2 linked regions of the Oreochromis niloticus genome follow. The protein of the gene in region 1 purifies or fractionates together with the protein of each later gene. This does not show direct contact. Links are inferred from orthologs where the notes say so. Each region holds a gene or a part of one and is shown on either strand. Other genes may lie near its edges.

What was found. The genes of interacting proteins can lie anywhere in the genome.
Region 2: the proteins of rrs1 (region 1) and ftsj3 purify together in Homo sapiens (affinity purification with mass spectrometry; 3 studies listed by BioGRID and IntAct, counting the BioPlex papers as one, with this or other methods). This does not show direct contact. The link is inferred for Oreochromis niloticus from reciprocal best matches to the Homo sapiens genes RRS1 and FTSJ3.

What each region holds. Positions count from the first base shown.
Region 1 is NC_031974.2:19,371,975-19,377,790, reverse strand, and holds rrs1 (ribosome biogenesis regulatory protein homolog), read right to left. Parts: upstream 3,352-5,816; 5' UTR 3,318-3,351; coding exon 2,283-3,317; 3' UTR 2,027-2,282; downstream 1-2,026. UniProt on the Homo sapiens protein: Involved in ribosomal large subunit assembly. May regulate the localization of the 5S RNP/5S ribonucleoprotein particle to the nucleolus.
Region 2 is NC_031986.2:45,584,197-45,590,574, reverse strand, and holds the start of ftsj3 (pre-rRNA 2'-O-ribose RNA methyltransferase FTSJ3), read right to left. Parts: upstream 3,985-6,378; 5' UTR 3,843-3,984; coding exon 3,776-3,842; intron 3,638-3,775; coding exon 3,532-3,637; intron 3,022-3,531; coding exon 2,975-3,021; intron 2,866-2,974; coding exon 2,786-2,865; intron 2,647-2,785; coding exon 2,547-2,646; intron 2,309-2,546; coding exon 2,114-2,308; intron 2,006-2,113; coding exon 1,890-2,005; intron 1,702-1,889; coding exon 1,597-1,701; intron 1,497-1,596; coding exon 1,396-1,496; intron 1,235-1,395; coding exon 1,148-1,234; intron 1,050-1,147; coding exon 903-1,049; intron 721-902; coding exon 585-720; intron 465-584; coding exon 271-464; intron 1-270.

The DNA.
Region 1 (5,816 bases):
AGTCCAGGAAAATGTCTGACTAGACTGCAACCGCTCTGGCTCCAAGACCAATCTCTTTCAAAAGGGTAAAGACCGTGGAAATACACACCTCAATACCACCACAAAAGAAAGACGTGCTCAACTGGATGAGAGAAAAATCCCACTCACAGTTTGCTTTGTGTTGTGTTTAAATGTACTTAAGTTGCAAATTCTGGCTTTGTGAGATATCTGTTACACTATACACTGCTCCTAATTCAGAGCGATGGCTCCAGTCTAGACATCAAGGCCAAAGCGAAGCCCTTACATAACCAAAAAAACCACAGCTAAGCTTCTAAGAAATCCGATCTGATGCTTAGTTCTCGGAAGAAGAAAACTGATGAACACTGAACAGCTCAGAGTCTGTAAAGACAATCTGCGACAGCTTAAAAAAATATTCTGAGCATAAAAACTTCTCTGCTGTGACATGAATAATACATCTGATCTGATGCTGACATGCATTTACTGGCTGGAGCTTGTTGCTGCAGTTAACCAGCCTCATTTAATATGAATGGGAAGCTTCGAAGCTATTCCCTGAGACCATCATGTAAATTAGTTAACAAGTATGTATAAAAAATCTGTTTGCATGTTTCCATTAAATATCCCTGGGAGCATTGGGCATTGTAGGCTACATTTTTAACTAGCCAAAATGTACGGCACCAGTTTTTCCCCCCATATTCTCTCAGAAAATACACCTTATATTACTAAATACACACAAACACATTATTAAATATACCATAAGAGGTATTGTTGCACATCACCAACCTTGGCTGAGTTTTTCTTAGCTACTGCATGGCTTTTTATGCAGTCTCATATTCTGGCATGCATATATCGTCATATCCAGGAGCAGAAAATTCACCTATTAACTCCATTATTTTTACAATAAATTGAAATAATGATGAACATGCATGTACTACTTTGCTGCTGTGTTGGTGAAATGGTCCGCAAACTAATTCTAATAAATCAGAACTAATTTGTGGATAAGTGTATAAAAGTATGGTGTGGATTTTAACACCCTTGTAATACTTACACTACAAGCGCAAAGCTGCAGCAGCTGCCACTGCAGTTTTTCTGCGGATGTTAATGCCAGAGGAAGGTTGGAGGCTGTTATTGAGTCAGCACAGCACCTCAGCCACCTTAACATAGAGTTCCTGTGGTTCCTAAACACTTCCACTTTAAATGAACTCATTGCACTCCTACTACAGAACCACGGTTTAATTCAGGGAACGACCGACTCTTTCAAAAATGTTTGTAAAGACAGATGCCAGATAGACTTTTGTCCATACAGTCTAATTGGCTAATAAACAAAGCTATAAGCAGCAGTGGGAACATATGGAAGCTTGTTTCTAACAATGAAAAAACAACTTTTTCTGTCATCCATATCTCAAAATTTAAAGTTAATAACTTCAAGTTATTTTAAGTTACCAAGTTGATAACCTGAATTTTTGACCTATGGATGGCACTTTTTTTTTTCCTTCTTTCAATCGGAGAAAGAAGCTTCCAAAGGAACGTTGATGCACCCTGACAGAAAAGAGTGAGCTCATTAGTTTGACATGATTAGCCACAATCACGTGAAAATCTTCATTTGAGTAACACTTTTTAATCATTCAGCAGCAAACCTTTATGATTTATAGGAAATTATTTCTTGACCTCCTGACTACAGACAAATGTGGGTCCCTGAGCCCAATTTAAAGAATGTTTTTTTTTTTAAATTGTAAGTTAATTTAAAATATCAAATAATGCTTATAATCCCAATTTGTTTTGCACAAACACTCTGGGTTTATTAGTACTATTAAAGTCTTTCCCCAAAGTTACATAAACTACATTAAACTTTGTCGTTAAAACTATGTAACTCATATAAACTTAATGAAATTAAAAATTAGAAGTCAAATATTTTTGAATGTATATATAGAGTTTAAAAAGTAATATGTAAAGGGTAACAAAATTAGCCTTAATCACACAGAACTAAAAAATAACTTCTGCAATAATTAAAGACAGAAAAACAAGTCACTCGTGTTCTACTTGGCTGTAATATTAAAGTATATTTGTGAATTTTTTTCATGAATATTACACATATATCGAAAAGAAACATCATGGTTGCTGGGGTCAAAATTTACAGTAAACATAGTTTACATAGATGGAGGGAGCATCCCACCCGTGGGCCACAGGTAAACCAGGTGATCAGTTCATATTGCATCATGAATGTCCAACACTTTGATGCCAAGGCAGGCACACACACACCCACACACAGGAAGACACAAGAGTCCTCAGCGCTTCCCAGGTTTGCCTCTTCTCTTCCCTCCTCCCCCTCCTGCTGCTTTTCCTTTCCCACCTTTTCCTCTGGCCTTTCCACCCATGCTGCTGCCTTTACGTCCCTTCTTCCCTGCTGCCTTCTTGTGTTTGGCAGCAGCCTCCTCTCTGTCCTCCTCCCTCATCTGTTTATTCACAGCTTTGGTGATGTCCAACTTGGGCTTCTTAGTGTCCATGACTTTCAGGAGCTCCAGCTGCTTCTGCTTTTCATTAGAAAAGTTGCCAATGAGGGGCTCGAATTTCCTCTTCTTGCCCTTCTTTGCTGGGTTCTCCTTGGGCAGGCGGTCCTGAAACCTCCCCAAGGATGCTGTGGAGGTTTTGGCCACACTTTCGGCTCTGGCCAGCTCATCTTTGGACTGGCTGGCTTTGGGGGTCAGGGTTACAGCAGGGATCTTGACTTTCTGCGATCTGGCGATGTTTTTCAGCCTGTTGAGCTCGTTTTTGGCCACCCTCTCCTTCTTGGCTTTGACGCGTTTGGCGAACTGGTCCTCATTCGGGTCTGCGCTCTCGGGGACCTCGATCAGCCACTCTTTGGTGTCATCGCCGGCCCTCTTGTAGCCCCAGCGCCTCTTCCACTCCTTTGCGGTTTCATCCCACACCAGGTTGGTCTTCTTCTTCTTCTTTATGCCCTTCAGCTTGGCGAACTGCTCCCATTTTGTTGGAGGTCTGGGTTTCGGTGGTAGCTTCTCTCTGGGCAGCCGGGTCGTCGGCTCCGGCAGTTTGGCCACTATCGCCTCCTCGACCCTCTCCGTGGGCTGTTTCCATATTTCGTTGATGAGAAGCTGCGTGTTGTCGCGAGCGAGAGCACGCAGAAAGTCCTCTTTGCTCTTCTCCCGGAGGTCGCGAGGCTCGATGCGGTTTTTGTCACACGCCAGCAGGTTCCCGATGTCAAACTCCAGGTCCAGCTCTTTCTGGACTGATATGCTTTTCAGGGTTTCCGCCTCTTGCGCCTCAGCTTTAGCCAACAACTCCTCTACACTGCACGCTGCCATGTTGCTCAGTGCTGCCTGAAAACCCCACGTGTGAGGCAGGAAAAACACACGAAACTGCTTCCGGGTCAAAGTCGTCGAGCTGCAGTTTGACACGTGACCACAGGAGAGCGCTGTCGTTTCATTTCTTTGCGTAACAGCGACTGTATCTGAAAGTCATGTCCTCAAGAGACAGGAAGAAAAATCCACAAAGACCTGATACTGGACCCGAGAGATGGATCTGGCCCTTCAGGTGATCCATTTAGTGTTCACTGAAGCATCACCAGAAATGGTCTCAGTGGGAGGGTGGCTGTCAAGAAGCTGTTCTTAAGGAAGGGAAGCGGGGAGAAAAGGCTGAAGTATGCCAAATTACACAAGAACTAGACTCAAAATCAGTGGCAGCAGATCTGATGGAGTGATGAATTCAAATATGACATTTTTGGTTCAGATTGTCATCAATATGCAGGCAGGACAGTGAGTGTCTACAGTTATTTGTAAAACGCAGTGGAGGCTCCGTCATGGTTTGGCGCTGCATTTCATCCAGTGGTCTTGGAGATCTTGTCAAAAGTGATGAATTGTGACCTCAGTGGCATCAGATACAGATCCACCATGCAACACCATCTAGAAATTGTCCAATTGGCAACATCTTCATTTTTCAGCATGACAATGAAACCAAACATACTGTCATTTCAGTAAAAGCATACCTGGATAGAAAAAATGGATTGAAAATGGAGCACAAACTCAATCTTTGCTCTTATATGCTGTATATACATGTATTTATATATATTTGCACATGCTTCAATAAATCGCTCTGCCAATTTCCTGTTTTTCAAGCAAAATATAAAGAAATGAGAAGTGGCACATGGACTTTTTCTCATCACTGTATACAAAAATGATCTGCCTTTAATAATAAATACATTTCCAAAATTAAAAAATCTAAAGGTGTTTTTAAACAAAACAAAAAACCCACCTGAGGTTCTATAATGTTCTTGTTTTATATAAAAAATTTTTTTTATTTTCTATAGAAATTACATTGAATTGACAAGAAATGGTGTAAATGAAAATTAATGGAGTCATTCATAGTATATCATTCATGATTTTAATGGATTATCTATACATAGGCATAAAAGTGTCCATTATCAGCAGTCATTCCTGTGTTTCAGTTAGACACTGTGTTACCCAATGAAAATGTATTGAGGGCTAATTTATGTTAGCATACATGAAAATTGTCCTGCTGTTTTTGAGCACTGCATTTGTTAAATTACATGTGTGGAGGGTGTCTAACCTTAGAAAAAGAGAAGGGAGACCCTGGTGTCTCAGCTAAGCAGCAGAACATCAGATTACATCAGAACCTCGACTCTGAGTCACCTTGCAGCTCCACAACTAGCATCTTCATTAAAAGTTGTCACAGTACTGGGTCTGTGACCCTGTGTTTTGTGTTTGTTTAATTTATATTCCTTGATTATTGTTATTCATGGTTTTGGTTCTCTTTATTGTTTTCTGCTTGTTTTATATTCTTAGTTCCTAGGCTTTAGGTTTTGTTAATGTGCCTCCCCTGTGTTCTGTATTATGTCTAGTTATCCTGGTTCCTATATTTGTGTATTTCCTGCTTTACTTTGACATCCCCACACCTGTGTTAGAGTATTCTGCTTTGCTTCCTCCCTGTCTCATGTGCCAGATTAAGTTCAGCTGTGTCTCCCTTTTGTCTCGTATTCCTTTGTTACCCTCTGTCTTTGTGTGTGTTTTCTCTTGTTCCTCGCTCAGGTGAGCCCGTCCAGCCACCTTCCTTGTCTGTTGTACACTCAGGAGAATCAGGTTAGCCACCACTCAACCGCCTGCAGCTGCCACGCCACGCCACGCCACGCCACGCAACGCCACCAACTGCTCAACCGCTCCCACTCAACCGCCTGCAGCTTCCACGCCACGCCACGCCACGCCATGCCACGCCACCAACTGCTCAACCGCTCAACCGCCTGCGACTGCCACGCCACGCCACGCCACCAACCGCTCAACCACTCAACCGCATGCGGCTGCCACGCCACGCTGCCAACCGCTCAACCGCCTGCGGCTGCCACGTCACACTACACTGCCAACAGACTGTGGCTGCCACGCCATGCCGTCAACCGCTTAACCACTTGCGGCTCCCGCGAAGCCAACCACTCAACTACCTGCGGATGCCACACCACATCACGCCACCAACTGACTGCAGCTGCCACGCCATGCCACCAATCGCTCAACCGGCTGCAGCTGCTGCGCCGCCAACTGCTCAAGCGCCTATAGCTGCCACACTGCTCCACCAAACGCTCAACCGCCTACAGCTACCACGCCATACCGCCAGCCGCTCAACTGCCTTGCGGCTGCCGCAACACACCACACCGCCAACCAGTCAACCGCCTGTGCCGCTTTGCTTCCTCTTTGTCTTATGTGTCAGATTAGGTTCAGCTGTGTCTCCCTTCTGTCACCTTCGTTACCCTCTGTCTTTATTGTGTGTATTTTCCTTTGTTCTTGTCGGATCGTCTGCTC
Region 2 (6,378 bases), on another chromosome or scaffold:
GGCATTCTTTCTGGTAAAAAAATAAATAAACAGACTTAAGCTTCCAGGGAAAAACAGTAAGCATCAACCTTGTGAAATGACAATAACAATTCTAGTAAATCAGTCTAGTTTGAGACCAACTCTGCTAAAAAAAAAAAAATAATCATTTGTACTCACTGAACATGCATACATGCTATTCAGTGCTTAACACCTTTCTAAAGAGAACTCCTACAGAGCCAGGCACCACATCACCAGTACCTCAGAGTGCTTTTGCTCTGAATGGCCTCTTACTTCTTTTTTGGTGCTTTCTTTTCCAGCTCCTTTTGTCGCCGTTCCACCTCTTCCAGATCCTCGTCATCCAAATCAGATGCCAGTGACATTTTATCTGCATCATCGCCATCTTCATCGGAGAGGTGAAAATCATCGTCTTCATCTACCAGAGTGTCCGCTGTCTGCATGTCCCCCTTTGATATGTCAGCAAGCACCTGAGGGACCAAGAAATTAACATGAAGCCACTTCTCAGTGATAAAGCTCGTGGTACTTGAACTCAGCGGTATTCTGATCTTGAGTTTTGGTGCTTTTGGGAAGCAGCGTGTGACGTTTACCTTTTTCTTCTTGATGGAGACGAGAGAGAACAAGGACGAGTCCTCAGTGGAGGCGATGGACACACCCGGTAGATCCATCTTCAGCTCCACTCTCTCTCTCTGCTTCCGCTGCTCCTTCAGCAGTTTCCTCTTCTTCCTGCCAAATCAGCAAGAGAGTTTCTTGGTTTGCCCCTACAACTGCATCCGTGGTAAAAGCTAAGAGAGGTGAAACTAAAAGTAAAGTGTTGCTTCTCTTTAGGCGAGATGCACCTATCAAGACAAAGTAGGAAAGATGAGGATTTAATCTCACCGAAAACACAAAACTAAAGCGGTTCATACCGTTTGAGCTCAGCCACCTCCTCAGCTTTCAGCTCTGTCAGCTTTTTCACCATTTCTTCCTCCTCGTTGTCCTCACCCTCCTCCTCTTCATCCTCCTTCTTTCCTGCTTCTTCCTCTGAATCGCTCCTTTCTTCATCCGAGCTTAAGCTAAAAACAATGTAGAGATGATTTATGTGTGACACACTTTAACAAAGATTTAATATTTAAATTGCTTTTTCTTTTCTTTTTCTTTTTTTTTTTTAAACCTGATCTCCTGGTCGAGCTGCTTAGCCTCATCTTTCAGTTTCTTAGCTAGGTATCTCCTCAGCTTGGACCTCCAGTTCAGCAGCAGGCTGCAAACGTGAGAAAAGACATGCAAACACGGCCCGTGTTAACAGCACTTCATGCTACAACACGTTCTCACACCATCTGATGTATGTGATGTGCAAGCACAGTAAAGTAGCAGCAGCTTACTAAAGCACAAACATGGCGAGTGAGAGATGGAAAAGCTCACCGGAGTTCTTTGCGGCCCAGGACTTTGATGTCACGACAACACTCCTTTATTTCATTGCTGGTTGCTGAGTGAAACTCCAGATCAGGATTGTTGAAGGTGATCTGAATGAGACAGAGCAAGAAAAGCACGAGTTTTCTTCTTATTCTTAACAGGACTGTCCCCCCCCCCCCCAAACACACACACAAACAAAAAAAAGCTCACCTCACTGGCTTTTCCCAGAAAGTCGACTGGGTTCTCAGCTTTCAGAAAATCGGTCACCGTGAAACTGTGGTAGAGCGTCAGATCTCCATCTGTATATCCCTCCGCCTGCAACAGAAGAAGAGCTGCTTCATCACTGATGGTTCATTTCTGGGCTCAAATGTGACTTAAAGTAAGTCTTAAACCTTGTGACTGATAAATAAAACAAAGTGTTTAAAAGCTAAAAATTTCATACCAGGCAATCACAGCCAGATCTGACATGCTTATTGTGACCAAACACTTGTCAGTATACATGCCTTTGGCTTCTTTACAGGGATCAGCTCCTTCACAGTTTTGGCCTGCACCTCCACCTCTTTGAATGCATACTTGGGGTCAAAGAACTTGCTGTCGATTTTGTCCGGGGCAACAAAACCTGATGATGACAATGGGGGAGGTTTAGGTGAGGTTTAGTCAAGAACAAGGTCAAAATTAAGGTCATTATTTATTGTCTTCAAAAAGCAAATGAAATAATGACACCGACCCTGACAGATGACAAAGATCTCAGCAGACTCATTCCTGGATGCCTGCGGTTTGGTGGCCTGCACCTTCTTGAAGAACTGCTGGAAGATCCAGAGCAGAGGCTGGTAGTCTTTGGAACGAAACACCTTGGTGACAAAGGTGCCTCCTTTGGTAAGAAACTCACAGGCCAACTTCAGAGCCATGAGAGTCAGGTGAGCTGTGGGTGAAAAAGGGAGGATTTCAAAATTAGATTTAAATACCAAATACTGTGGAAAATGGACATGAACTTAAGTAGTTTAGGCACAACAGAGACACAAAATCAAAGAGTGGTAAGGATGTATCAAAAAAGAACCCCTTACAATCCTTATCAACCAAATTAAATAATTTTTGGACATATTGTGCGAATGCTGTTTTACTGCAGTCTGATCTCTAGACGTTTTTTTCTCTTGACTCACCTTGGGAAAAGGCATCGTGCTGCCAGTTAGCTCCCACATTTGGGGCTCCATCGTTTAACACAACATCCACTTTCCAAGTCTGAAGCTCCTTTCTGAGAGCCTGTACAACGGAAAGAGTGTCTCATCAGTTAAAACCATGTCACAAACACAGCGTTGGCTGTCCACATCTCTACTGTTGAAATATCATCTCTGATTTTATGTTTCTTCAGTGATGCTGTGAACAGCAGCAGCTTTCTCACCTGTCTGCATTTCTCAGTGGTGATGTCTTCTTGAAGTGTCACCACGTTGGGGATGGGTTTAATGGGGACCAAGTCAACACCTGAGAAGAAGAAACCACTCTTACGGGGAAGTATTGCCACACGCATTACAGCTGCTTTAGAAGCATAACAGAAACAGAGCCATTTATCATTGGAGAAATTTGTACTCACCGATAATCAGACTTGAAACAGGCATAAACTTAGACGCTACCTGCAACCTGGAAAAGGAGATTTTGAATTCAACTTTAATTATTTTGCATAGTACAAATCACTCATTTATCCGTTTTTCACTTCCGTCATTACATATTGTACCGTATTGTCATTTCTGTAAGGCTCGTGGATTTTATCTTGTAATCACAGCAAAAGAAAGTCTGTGATTATAGTGAGCCAGAGTCGTGCTCACTAGAGAGGAGGTCAAGCTTGGTCACACACGGTCCTAAGTTAATGCAACTTTACACAAACTGCAACTGTACAATCACCAGTCAGCTCCTCTTCACTGACTTTCTCCCCCTGACACTTCTGTCAACGTGGTCGCTCTTTTCTCTTCTCTCTGTCCCTGACTCAGCTGCCACTTGTTATAACAAAGACCTTTGGTGACCGTTCACATGTGACAGAAGCGAATGACCAAAGACTGCAAAGTGGTCTACTGGCCAGCTTCCCCCCAGAGGGTTTACTTCTTTTCCTTTTGTTACCACACACGACGGCATGTCTGGTGACGGGATGCTTACCACCCTCCAGGTGCAGCGCACAGATCCACCAGAGCTCGGGCTTTCTGCAGAAACTGGAACTTACGGTTAAGCTGGATCAATTTGAAGGAGGAACGAGAGCGATAACCTAAAAATTACACAAAAAAAGGAGATTTAAAAGATTGCCAAAAGTCTGCAACCCACAACTTTATATCGATCGGAGCTTCAGCCTGCTAATGCTAATATCACGACAGTCTCGAGCTCGTGTTGTTTTCCGGTACTCTACCTGTTTCTTTGGCCAGGTGGTAGAATTTATCTTTCCGGGTCTTTCCGACCTTAAGTTTCTTCCCCATATTTGCTGCTTTACTTTTACGCCGGACCTTAACACACAGATATGTCACACACTCAAAACACCCCTCTGCCTATGAAAACAGCACGTGTACACGTGCCGGCGCAGGACTACGACGTCACACTTCTTCTTCTTCTTCTTCGGATTTGTTTGTTAGTTTCGCGCATGTTCCGCCACCTGCTGTTAACAACACATTACTACGATATCTTAAATAAAATGCATTCATTATTATTATTATTAGGGCCCGAGCACCGAGAGTGCGAAGGCCCTATTGTATCTGCTCTGTTTATTATTATTAGGGCCCGAGCACTGAGAGTGCGAAGGCCCTATTGTATCTGCTCCGTTTCTTATTATTATTATTATTATTATTATTATTATTATTCAGGCAAAAGAAGGGCCTTTTTGAGGGCTTTAACATGCTCGAAAACTCTTGGAATTTTGCACACATGCCAGGTCTGGTGAAAAATTTTGTATTTTAATGGTTTTACATATGAGCACTGGGAAATGGCTCTGTAGCGCCACCTATGCCTTGTTAAATGCAGCCCTACAAACACATCGTTTTAGCTACATGTATGAAATTTGGCACACATGTGTATCATGCCAAGACGAACAAAAAAGTCTGTGGGACCATTGACGCAAACCCAACAGGAAGTCCGCCATTTGGAAGTGAACGTGACATTTTGGCTCTAATTTTGCCATTTCCATGCCTCGAACTTTTGCGAACTCCTCATTGGAATTTCATCGTACAAGCTTCATATTTGGTCAGTGTCAACTACACACCTGGGCCATGTTAAATTGCGGAGCTTTTGAGTTTTCGGGATACGGTGAGGCCGTGGCGCCACGGCGAATTTCGATGACTCGCCATGAAAATCTTATTGCCTCTCTTTCTGTCATACATTGTCCGACCTTGACCAAAGTGGACACATATGATAAGGCTCCACCCCTGAACATATTTCAACTGCCATATTTGACATCAGGGAGAGCGCCACCTAGTGGGAACAGGAAATGTCATGTTTTACACTTTGGGGTACAGTATTGTAATGGGTGACATCTGCAGCCTCAAATTTCTCCAGGAAAGCCTTAAGGAGTTGGTCTTGGGTTACAGAGAAAACTGTGAGTTTTCGCTGAAGGGTGTGACCCCAGCAGCATGGCGAACATTGAGGTCTCGCCATGAAGAAACAAATTAGTGTAAGTCAATGAAATCCAATCTGATCAGTACCAGATTTTACAGACATGATGTCAGACCCGCCCTGAACAGATTGATGTGCCCATTGTCAGGAATACGTAGAGCGCCACCTAGTGGCACCAGGAAATGTCATGTCTTTCATTTTGTTTTACTGATTTTCACAGGTTCATCGTGGCCACCTGAAAAGCGGTGAGTATCACCATCAGTCCTTCATGATGCTTCTGTGCGAAAATTGTGACTTTAAACTGAACGGCGCACCCTGGTGGCAACGCGGTTCACCATGAAAGACGAAGTGGCTTTTGAGGGGCTTGGAAATTTTAAAAAGTCTTGGAATTTGGCCCAAACCTCCAATGTGATGAGGGCTTTGTTGTTATGTGATCATTTTCCTTGAATAGTGCAAAATGGCTCCACAGCGCCCCCTACAAAATTTCAAAACATCAGCCCCTGCTCTGTGTTTTATTTATAAGTCTGAAACCTGGTAAGCTTATGGAGGATATCAAGATGTACAAAAAAGTCTCTTGGAGCAATATCCCAAATCCAACAGGAAGTCAGCCATTTTTAAATTAAGGTGTAATTTTAGCCACTTTTTCGCCTCTTTTCAGGCCTCATACTTTGACGAACTCCTCCAAGGGATTTCATCAGATTAACCCGATCTCCTGTGTGTGGAATCTAAAGACCTTTGTGATGTTAAATTGCGAAGCTTTTTACGTTCAGGGAAACGGGGTGGCCATGGCGGCACGTGGAGTTTCAATCACTCGCCAAAAAGCAGTAATCTGCTGTCACTCAAAAACACAATGTCCAATCTCTCCCAAAGTTCGCAGGCGTGATGAGACTCAAGGTCGGAAATGTTTGTTATCCCATTTGTCAGTAATGGTTAGAGCGCCACCTAGTGGGACGACTATAATAATGATTGAATGAGATGAATCGTTAGCTGGTGGTTCTAGGCATGAATTCCATCAATGTGACATCAGATCGGACGTGCTGGTTGTAGGTGTTGGGTGTGGCCCGACGTGCCGGGGTGCGAGGGCCCTCATAACGCTGCTTGCAGCTTTAATTATTATTATTATTATTATTATTTTTCATTGAAATGAATTGCCTTTTTGAGGGCTTTAACATGCTCGAAAACTCATGAAATTTTGCACACATGCCAGGCCTGGTGAAAAATTTTGTATTTCAATGGTTTTACATATCAGCATTGGGAAATGGCTCTAGAGCGCCACCTATGCCTTGTTAAATGCAGCCCTACGAACACATCGTAGGAGCTACATGTATGAAATCTGGCACACATGTGTATCATGCCAAGACGAACAAAAAAGTCTATGGGCCCATTGACGCAAACCCTACAGGAAGTCCG